Linked DNA regions of Rattus norvegicus. The protein of the gene in region 1 interacts with the protein of each later gene in a pairwise test. Links are inferred from orthologs where the notes say so. Each region holds a gene or a part of one and is shown in the gene's direction. Other genes may lie near its edges.

Evidence for each region. The genes of interacting proteins can lie anywhere in the genome.
Region 2: the proteins of Siah1 (region 1) and Peg10 interact in binary tests that used the Homo sapiens proteins (3 or more experiments, as listed by UniProt). The link is inferred for Rattus norvegicus from reciprocal best matches to the Homo sapiens genes SIAH1 and PEG10.

What each region holds. Positions count from the first base shown.
Region 1 is NC_086037.1:36,572,545-36,576,185, forward strand, and holds the end of Siah1 (E3 ubiquitin-protein ligase SIAH1), read left to right. Parts: intron 1-1,317; 5' UTR 1,318-1,319; coding exon 1,320-2,168; 3' UTR 2,169-3,229; downstream 3,230-3,641. UniProt on the Homo sapiens protein: E3 ubiquitin-protein ligase that mediates ubiquitination and subsequent proteasomal degradation of target proteins.
Region 2 is NC_086022.1:33,807,587-33,811,832, forward strand, and holds the start of Peg10 (retrotransposon-derived protein PEG10), read left to right. Parts: upstream 1-1,439; 5' UTR 1,440-1,647; intron 1,648-4,246.

The sequences.
Region 1 (3,641 bases):
GCTGTAGCCACAAGAGGGAACCCACAGGTTCAGGGAGCTCTTTGTTCAGCCCCACCCAGCGTTTGATCTTCTGTGGTTTTCTCCACTTCTTATATTCCTTCAGTCTTCAGATGAACGCACTGACTGATGGGAGACAGAAGTGATACCTGGCTGCCTTAATAAAAGACTGAGTAGACGTCTGCAGGCAGATAACAGGATGGCAGGGTTTCCTTCCCCTGTGACCTCTGAGCCCATTCCCAGAGCACAGTTCTAGTGATGATGCTGTTCATGCTGGGAAGAGTTGACCCGGCTCTAATGGTCTTTGGCATATGAACTTCATAGGACTAAAGCAGTAGGTCCTGAAGCTATGAGCAAACTCAGACTTGAGAAAAAATAGATGGAGGTGGAGACTCGGGAAAAAAGTCCAGCCCAAATAAAGTTTATATTGTAATTTAAGGTTTTCTTCTTTTAAAAAAGATTTGTTTTTATTTTATGTGAATGGGTGCTTTGCCTGCATGTCTATCTGCTCATAATATGTTTGAGTGCCCTGGCTGCCTCTAATGAGCAGCCATTTGGGTGGTGGGATTTGAACACTGGTCCTCCGGAAGACCAACCAGTGTTTTTAACTGCTAGGCCATCTCTCCAGTCTCCAGCCCTGTATTTAATTTATATTCCTCCTCTTCCCCTCCTCTTCCTCCTCTTCCTCCTCTTCCTCATCCTTTCCTCCTCCTCCTTCCTCCTTCCTTTTTTTTCTTCTTCCTTCTTTCCTTTTCTTCTGCCTCCTAAATGTTGGGAGTTAAAGGCTTGTGCCATCTTGCCCAGCTGTATTTAAGTTCTTAAGACAAAGACAGTTTTGTAGTTCTTTATTGTTTAGGAACTTTTTTGAAATTAGGTCTTCATATGTAGTCCTGCTTGGCCTGAAACTATGTATGCAGACCAGGCTGACCTCGAACTCCCTGATCCCCACCTGTATGTGTGTCTGCAGTGCAAGGGTTAAAGGTGTGGCCACAATGCCTGGTGCGATTCTTATTCTGTGTAGTCCACCCAGAGATTTCCACTGCTTTAAGAACAAAAAAGTATTTTAAACATGCTGGAGAACATTTTGGAAATACAGTTTACTCATTATATAACTCCAGAAAATTAACCTTTAGCGTTCAATTTTTATTTTATTTGTATATGGATTTAAAACTATATTTACTTAATTTTATTCTTTTATTCACGATAAATTTTGTGGTATGCTTTACAAGTATTTATGACATGTATACATACATATCTACTAATGTGTTATATTTGTAACTTTCCCCCTGCTTCCTTTTATTTTCTTGTTTTCCTTTACAGAGATGAGCCGTCAGACTGCTACAGCATTACCCACCGGCACCTCAAAGTGTCCACCATCCCAGAGGGTACCTGCCTTGACTGGCACAACTGCATCCAACAATGACTTGGCGAGTCTTTTCGAGTGTCCTGTCTGCTTTGACTATGTATTGCCACCTATTCTTCAGTGTCAGAGTGGCCATCTTGTTTGTAGCAACTGTCGCCCCAAACTTACATGTTGTCCCACCTGCCGGGGCCCGTTGGGATCCATTCGCAACTTGGCTATGGAGAAAGTGGCCAACTCCGTACTCTTCCCTTGTAAATATGCCTCTTCTGGATGTGAGATAACTCTGCCGCACACCGAAAAGGCAGAGCACGAGGAGCTCTGTGAGTTCAGGCCTTACTCCTGCCCCTGCCCTGGTGCTTCCTGTAAGTGGCAAGGCTCCTTGGATGCTGTCATGCCCCACCTGATGCATCAGCACAAGTCCATTACCACCCTGCAAGGAGAAGATATAGTTTTCCTTGCTACAGACATTAACCTTCCTGGTGCTGTTGACTGGGTGATGATGCAGTCTTGTTTTGGCTTTCATTTCATGTTAGTCTTGGAGAAACAAGAAAAATACGATGGCCATCAGCAGTTCTTTGCGATTGTACAGCTGATAGGAACACGCAAGCAAGCTGAAAATTTTGCATATCGACTTGAGCTGAATGGTCATAGGCGGCGATTGACTTGGGAAGCCACCCCTCGGTCTATTCATGAGGGAATTGCAACAGCCATCATGAATAGTGACTGCCTAGTGTTTGACACCAGCATTGCACAGCTCTTTGCAGAAAATGGCAATTTAGGCATCAATGTAACTATTTCCATGTGTTGAAACGGCAATCAAATATTTCTGGCCAGTGTTTAAAATTTGCATTTGACTTCACAGAGAATAAGGCACCCATCTGCTTGCCAACCTAAACCTCTCCTGGTAGGTAGAAGCTAGACATGAAGGTAAATAAAAAGAAAAGCTGTTAATACAGGAAACAGTTGCATGTAGTAACACTAATATATTTAAAAATAATTCAACAGTAAACCACTGAAAAATATATATACCCAAGATGGGCATCTTTTGTATTAAGAAAGGAAACATTGTAAAATATTTCTGAACTTTGTGTTTGTTGTAGATTGATTGTATTGTTGACAATTTTTTGGGGGTGTGTGTCTGTGCACGCATGCGTGCACGTGTGTGGTTGGTTTTCCTTTAACTGACAAGCCATCTGCGTGGTCATGGGCCACCGCTTTCCCCTTGTGAGTCAACACACAGTGCTGCTGTGGGGTTGTTTTTTGTTTTGTTTTTTGTTTTGTTTTTTGGTGTGTGTGTATTTGCTAATTTTTATTCTAGTTTTTCATTAAATAAATTTGACTTTCTTTTCTGTAATTCAGGTTTTTCTCACTTTTGTACCTTTTAAGTTAGCGTCTTTTTGATATCCATAATTGCTTAATGTCAGAAGTTTGTGTTCAGTACATACTTTCTTTTCCTTCAATCAATTTATTAGACATTTTTAATTCAGCCCTTCTGTGGAAATAGGAATTCCAGAAAGGAAAGGGAGCAGAGCAGCTCGTCGAGGCTGAAGCAAGTACAGGATGGTCTCGCCTCCCGACTGCTGTCCTACGCCGTCAGGTCAGGCTTACTCTCTGAAAGGTTAGCTTAGGGAGTAAACTCTGATCACTATAAATTATAAAATAATCAGGCTTTTCCTCTCTTCAAATGTCTTGGGCAAATCACATGTTTAAATTGGTTCTTGTATTTATTGGTTTTGCAAAAGAGTGCATCATCATACACAGTATTTGTAATTAAAGTAAATCATTTGTTTTTAAAAAAAGGCAGTTTGCAAAAAAATGTTTTTGGTCTTTTATAATTCTCATTAAAAGATTATCTGGCAAATTAAAAAACATTTTAATGTGTTTACTTTAGCTCTAGGTTTTTGTTTTTGTTTTTTGTTTCCCTGGAGCTGAGGACTGAATGTAGGGCCTAGCACTTGGCAGATGCTCTACCCTGAGCTACACCCTCACCCTGTGGCCCTAAGATGGATAAACTCCAAAGGTAGTTTCCTGTTCCGGTCTGTATTTTAGAGCAGAGGATTGTATGCCACTGTTTGAAGTATGTTTTATTTTAAATCACAGAAAAGACTGGACAGCTCTCCCTCCCACTTTCATTCCATTAGGACATTGGGAATATGACTAATTAATGCTGATTATTCTTTTCCTTTGTGAAAAAAGGTGAGTTATTTTATCCTTTCCTAGCTCCAGTGGTGTGGTACTGACTCTGCAGTCTGATTTTCAAGTTTCTAGGCACCAGTTTACC
Region 2 (4,246 bases), on another chromosome or scaffold:
TAACGTTAAAAAAGATTTTTTTTTTAAACAGGTTTATATCAATCGAACCAAGCAAATGCTTGGAGCTAGTCTCGGTGACCTGTTTCAAGGGTTTGAACCCACAGTTACTGCGCCCCAAAACATTCATTCACCCACAAGATTTAGAAACACATAACGGCGCGGGGGTGGGGGGGAAGCCGAGGTCTCTGTGTAAACCTTGTAATCACCTCACAAAGTCCGTAGCTGAAAGCTTCCAAAGCCGGCCAAGAACATTGGAAGCATCTACAGCTGTTTTCAATTGTTCTTGATTTCCCTTCGTAACATATTTAGTAGGGCAATGGGTGCTTTTTGCAGCATCTCCGGCCCCCAGCCATGGTTGACCCTGACCTGAACACCGCCGTTTGGCTCCCAGAATTTCATGATCCTGCTTCCGTGTTCGGTAAAAACCTAAGAAAAATCAGGTTCGCGCCACCAGGAAATACGCTTTAAAAAAAGGCAGGGAGCGGGGTGGGGGTGGGGGCGAGATTCGGTCTTTTAAATGTCACATTTTGGTGGTCTTTCTCTCCACCAGATTCCAGAAAATGAGAAAAGACGTACATCTTTGTGTAAGAGATAAGCAGCTGGCCAGCCATGCCCTTTGCCTCACATCTAGGCCAGAGAGTCTCAATTGTGGGGTAAAGCCCCCACCCCCCCACCCCCACCCCCACCCCGAGGGGCAGCGACCCCCAAGTCTGTTCCAGAGATCAGAAGATGTCCACCACCAGGCTGTGGGGGGGCGAGGTGGGGTACACTCCTTAATGGAAACTGGAGCTGAATTCCTGCCCTGCTGGACAGGGAGGGGCCGTGGGGGTGCAGAAAGAGAAGGCCAGGGGTCAAGCCTGGGGAGGGACCCACTTGGCCCAGGAGGTGGGCTGAAGGGTGTCCTGAAAGAGGGGTGCTGGGGGGGCGCATTGGGCATAGAGCAGGACTAGCACCCTTCGGGCACGCCCTGGTACCCCAGAACCCGAGTGGGGGAGGGTGAGGCGGCGGCCTGTGGGCCCCTGAACCTCCATGTCGCGCGCAGGCCACTAACCTGTCAGTAAGAATGTGCCAGTGGTCGCGGGGCTCATCTTGAGTGTCCCCCGACCCTTTCCCGTCCAAGCACAAGGGTCTCCCAGCTCCCACCACCAGAATAATAGCATTCTTGGCCTGCCTAAGCCGTCCGTCCTCGATCCTCCCCTCCCCTCCCTTTCTTCTTTCCTCCCAGCTTGGCCAGTTCAGCATCGTGCACCCCCCTTCCTGAGCCCATACTGCCCCTAGCGGCGGGCCAAAGCGGTGCATGCCGCGCCCCCACCCATCCCCCCAGGCGCCCGCCCACGCGCCCCCCCTCCGCCCCCGCCAGCTCGCGAAGCACGCTGGGATTTGGCGCCCCCCTCCTAGGATCTCTCTATATAAGGCAAGCAGTCCGGGCTCTCGGTACACGCGTTTCCAACTTCAGTTGGTGTGTGTCGAAGAATCCTGACCAACTACGACCTGAGGAGAGCCACCAACCGAGAAGGTCCACCAAGCTTCGCCAAGGTCCGCTGAGTGGGCTGCGGTCCGGAGCCTTCTCCGGACCGCGGTCACCCAGTGGGCCCGGCCGTCGCCGGACCCCTCATCCTTCGTGTCATCGCAGAGGATCCTCGTGTGGTGAGTATGCGGTGAGGATTTTTTTTTTTTTTACCCGAAAATGATCACACGCAATCCCCGATTTTTCTTCCCAGGAGCTGCGGGAGATAAAGTAGCGCCCCCAGAATATCTCCTCGCGAATTTTGTCACGCCTGCCTTCAGTGGCCGCATCCTGAGACGAGAGCATGGAAAGCAAGTCTTCACGGCTTTGGGTCCGGGACTTCGGTTTCCATGACTCGCGTCCAGCATTGGTCAGTAGACGCATGAGCTGCGGACAGCGATGAGCTGCAGACGCACATGAGCTACGGACCGAATTGCGATGAGCTCCTCAAATGCGCTGCAAAGTGGCTGGCTACTCCGCTACTCTTTGGCGCTTGAATGCCGCGCTACAAACGGATAAGCGCTTTAGTTGCGCTGCAGACGGCTGCTTCTTGCGCTGTGCTGAACTAACGGGCGCTTCATGCGCTACAAAATACTAATAGGCGCTTTACGCGCTACGAAATACTAATAGGCGCTTCATGCGCTACGAAATACTAATAGGCGCTCCATGCGGCACGAACTGATGGGCGCTTCTTACGCTTCGATCGTCTAATAGGCGCTTAACGCGCTGCGATGTACTAATGGGCGCCATGCGCTTCGATGTACTAATGAGTGCTTAATGCGCTTCGATGTACTAATGGGCGCTTCATGCCTTCAGTGTACTAATGGGCGCTTCATGCGCTTCGCTGTACGAACGAGCGAACTGGCGAACGGGCGAACGGGCGAACCGGCGCTTCATGCGCCACAAACCAGCCCGAACTCCAGAGATACACAAACCGACTCCTTGCTTCACGCACTCAATTCCGAGCTGCAGGAGAGTCACAAAATGCAAAAGCGCAACAAGAGTGGGCTTAGAAATGCGCTACAAACTGCGGCAGAGGCAAAAGACGTGCAGACTCGAGCTACGCGGAAAGTAGTGTAGCGTTGGAAAGACGAGAGAGTACAACTCTCTCCTCGGGGAAGAGGCGACACAGGTTTACCTTTCGGATCAAAACGCGTTGCGTTTTCTGGTCAGACGTCCATCTGCATGATGGTGGTGGTGGTAGACAAAATGGAGCCCTGAGAGGCCAAAAATTGGTGTTTAACATTCTGCCCACGGGACTCCTGCTTACGGCAGTAGAGTGGAGGGGTGCTGGATTTTGGAGATGGCAGAATGGGCTGCCTTGTCTAGTGGTGATTGATTGAGGTGACGGTGCAATAGACTCGGGGGCACGAATTGGTGTCCAGCAACAGTTTGTGGAGACAGTCCGGTTTGCTGGGTGGGTCCGAAGCCGAGATGGGAGGTGGGGGTTTGCTCTTGCTCTACGGAAGGAATTTGGTGGTTGGGAGGGGTCGGGGAGGTAGGGGGGCGGGGGGAGGCATGCAGACATTCTGCAGCCCTGTAGCAGCCAGTCTCAGACCTGCCCCGCCCATCCTAGCCTTGTCTCATCTGCAGAGAGGTTGCGCGCCTCGTCTGCGCGCGTCGCCTGTCGCGCGCCTTTCCAGAACATGCTTCCACAGGCCCCACCTCCCGAGTGCTGATGCCTTTGGGACAGCCTACTTAGCCCCCGCCCTCAAGGCCCGCCTCCTCTGAGGCGGCCTGACAAGGCCCCGCCTTTCCCTTAGCCCGCCTCCTCCTAGGAGGCCGGCCCAGGTCCCGCCTCTCTTAATGTCCAGCTCCTCCCATAGCTCCTCCTCTGAGGAGGCCTAGAGCCCCGCCTTCCCTCAGCCTGCCTGCGCCTGCGCACTGTGGGCCGCAGCCCCTCCCTTCAGGTATGCCTCCACTGCGCAAGTGCGCCTCTGCCCTGTCTGAGCCTGGCTGCACAGCCCCGCCTCCCTGCGGTTTCTCTGTTGCGCGGTTTTACTTTTTGTCCACAGGTGTCTAGTAAATATAAGAATAATAAGAATAATTAACAGTCACAATAATAAGTATACCTGGCAAGCAAATGCACTTTTAATAAGTGCATTGCATTATTAAATAAAAAGATCCCACAATTAAAACTCCTGATAGTGGGATATGGGAACTAGTAAGAAGACGTAGCTGATGCCTTAAAGCAATGAAGGCAATTAATTTTAATTTTATTTTAAATTAAAAATTAAATTTAATATTTTCAAATTTAATTATTTTATCAAGACACCATTGGACTTCCTGAAATTAAATGCTTTGGTAACTACAAAGACAGAGGTGACGAGCACTGTGTTTCTTAGGAGTTTTCAGTGGCTTTGGTGTTATAGCTTGGCTTCTGGGAGAGATGTTTATTAGCGTAGAACAGGTTTGTTGTTGTTTTTGTTTCTTAAAAATTCTAGGTGATTGGGCCTGCCTGGCCTGCTTGTAAAGGTGTGCTTGGCGCATAGTAAGGATTAATTAATTGTGTGTTGAAGTCCGAATAAATTATTGTCTTGCTGCTGGCCTTCAGGCTTTTTTGGATTTTTGTGCCTTTTTCCTATGGTGCTTTGCTGTCCTGAGTTGAGTTGCTGCCCCTTTTGAAAACACAATTAAAAGTTTCTTTTTAAAAAAGTATGTTTTTGAACTTCAGTAATGTAAGCTGTAATTATAATGTGAATCAACTAAGTTATATTCCAAATAATTAGCTTTTTTCAT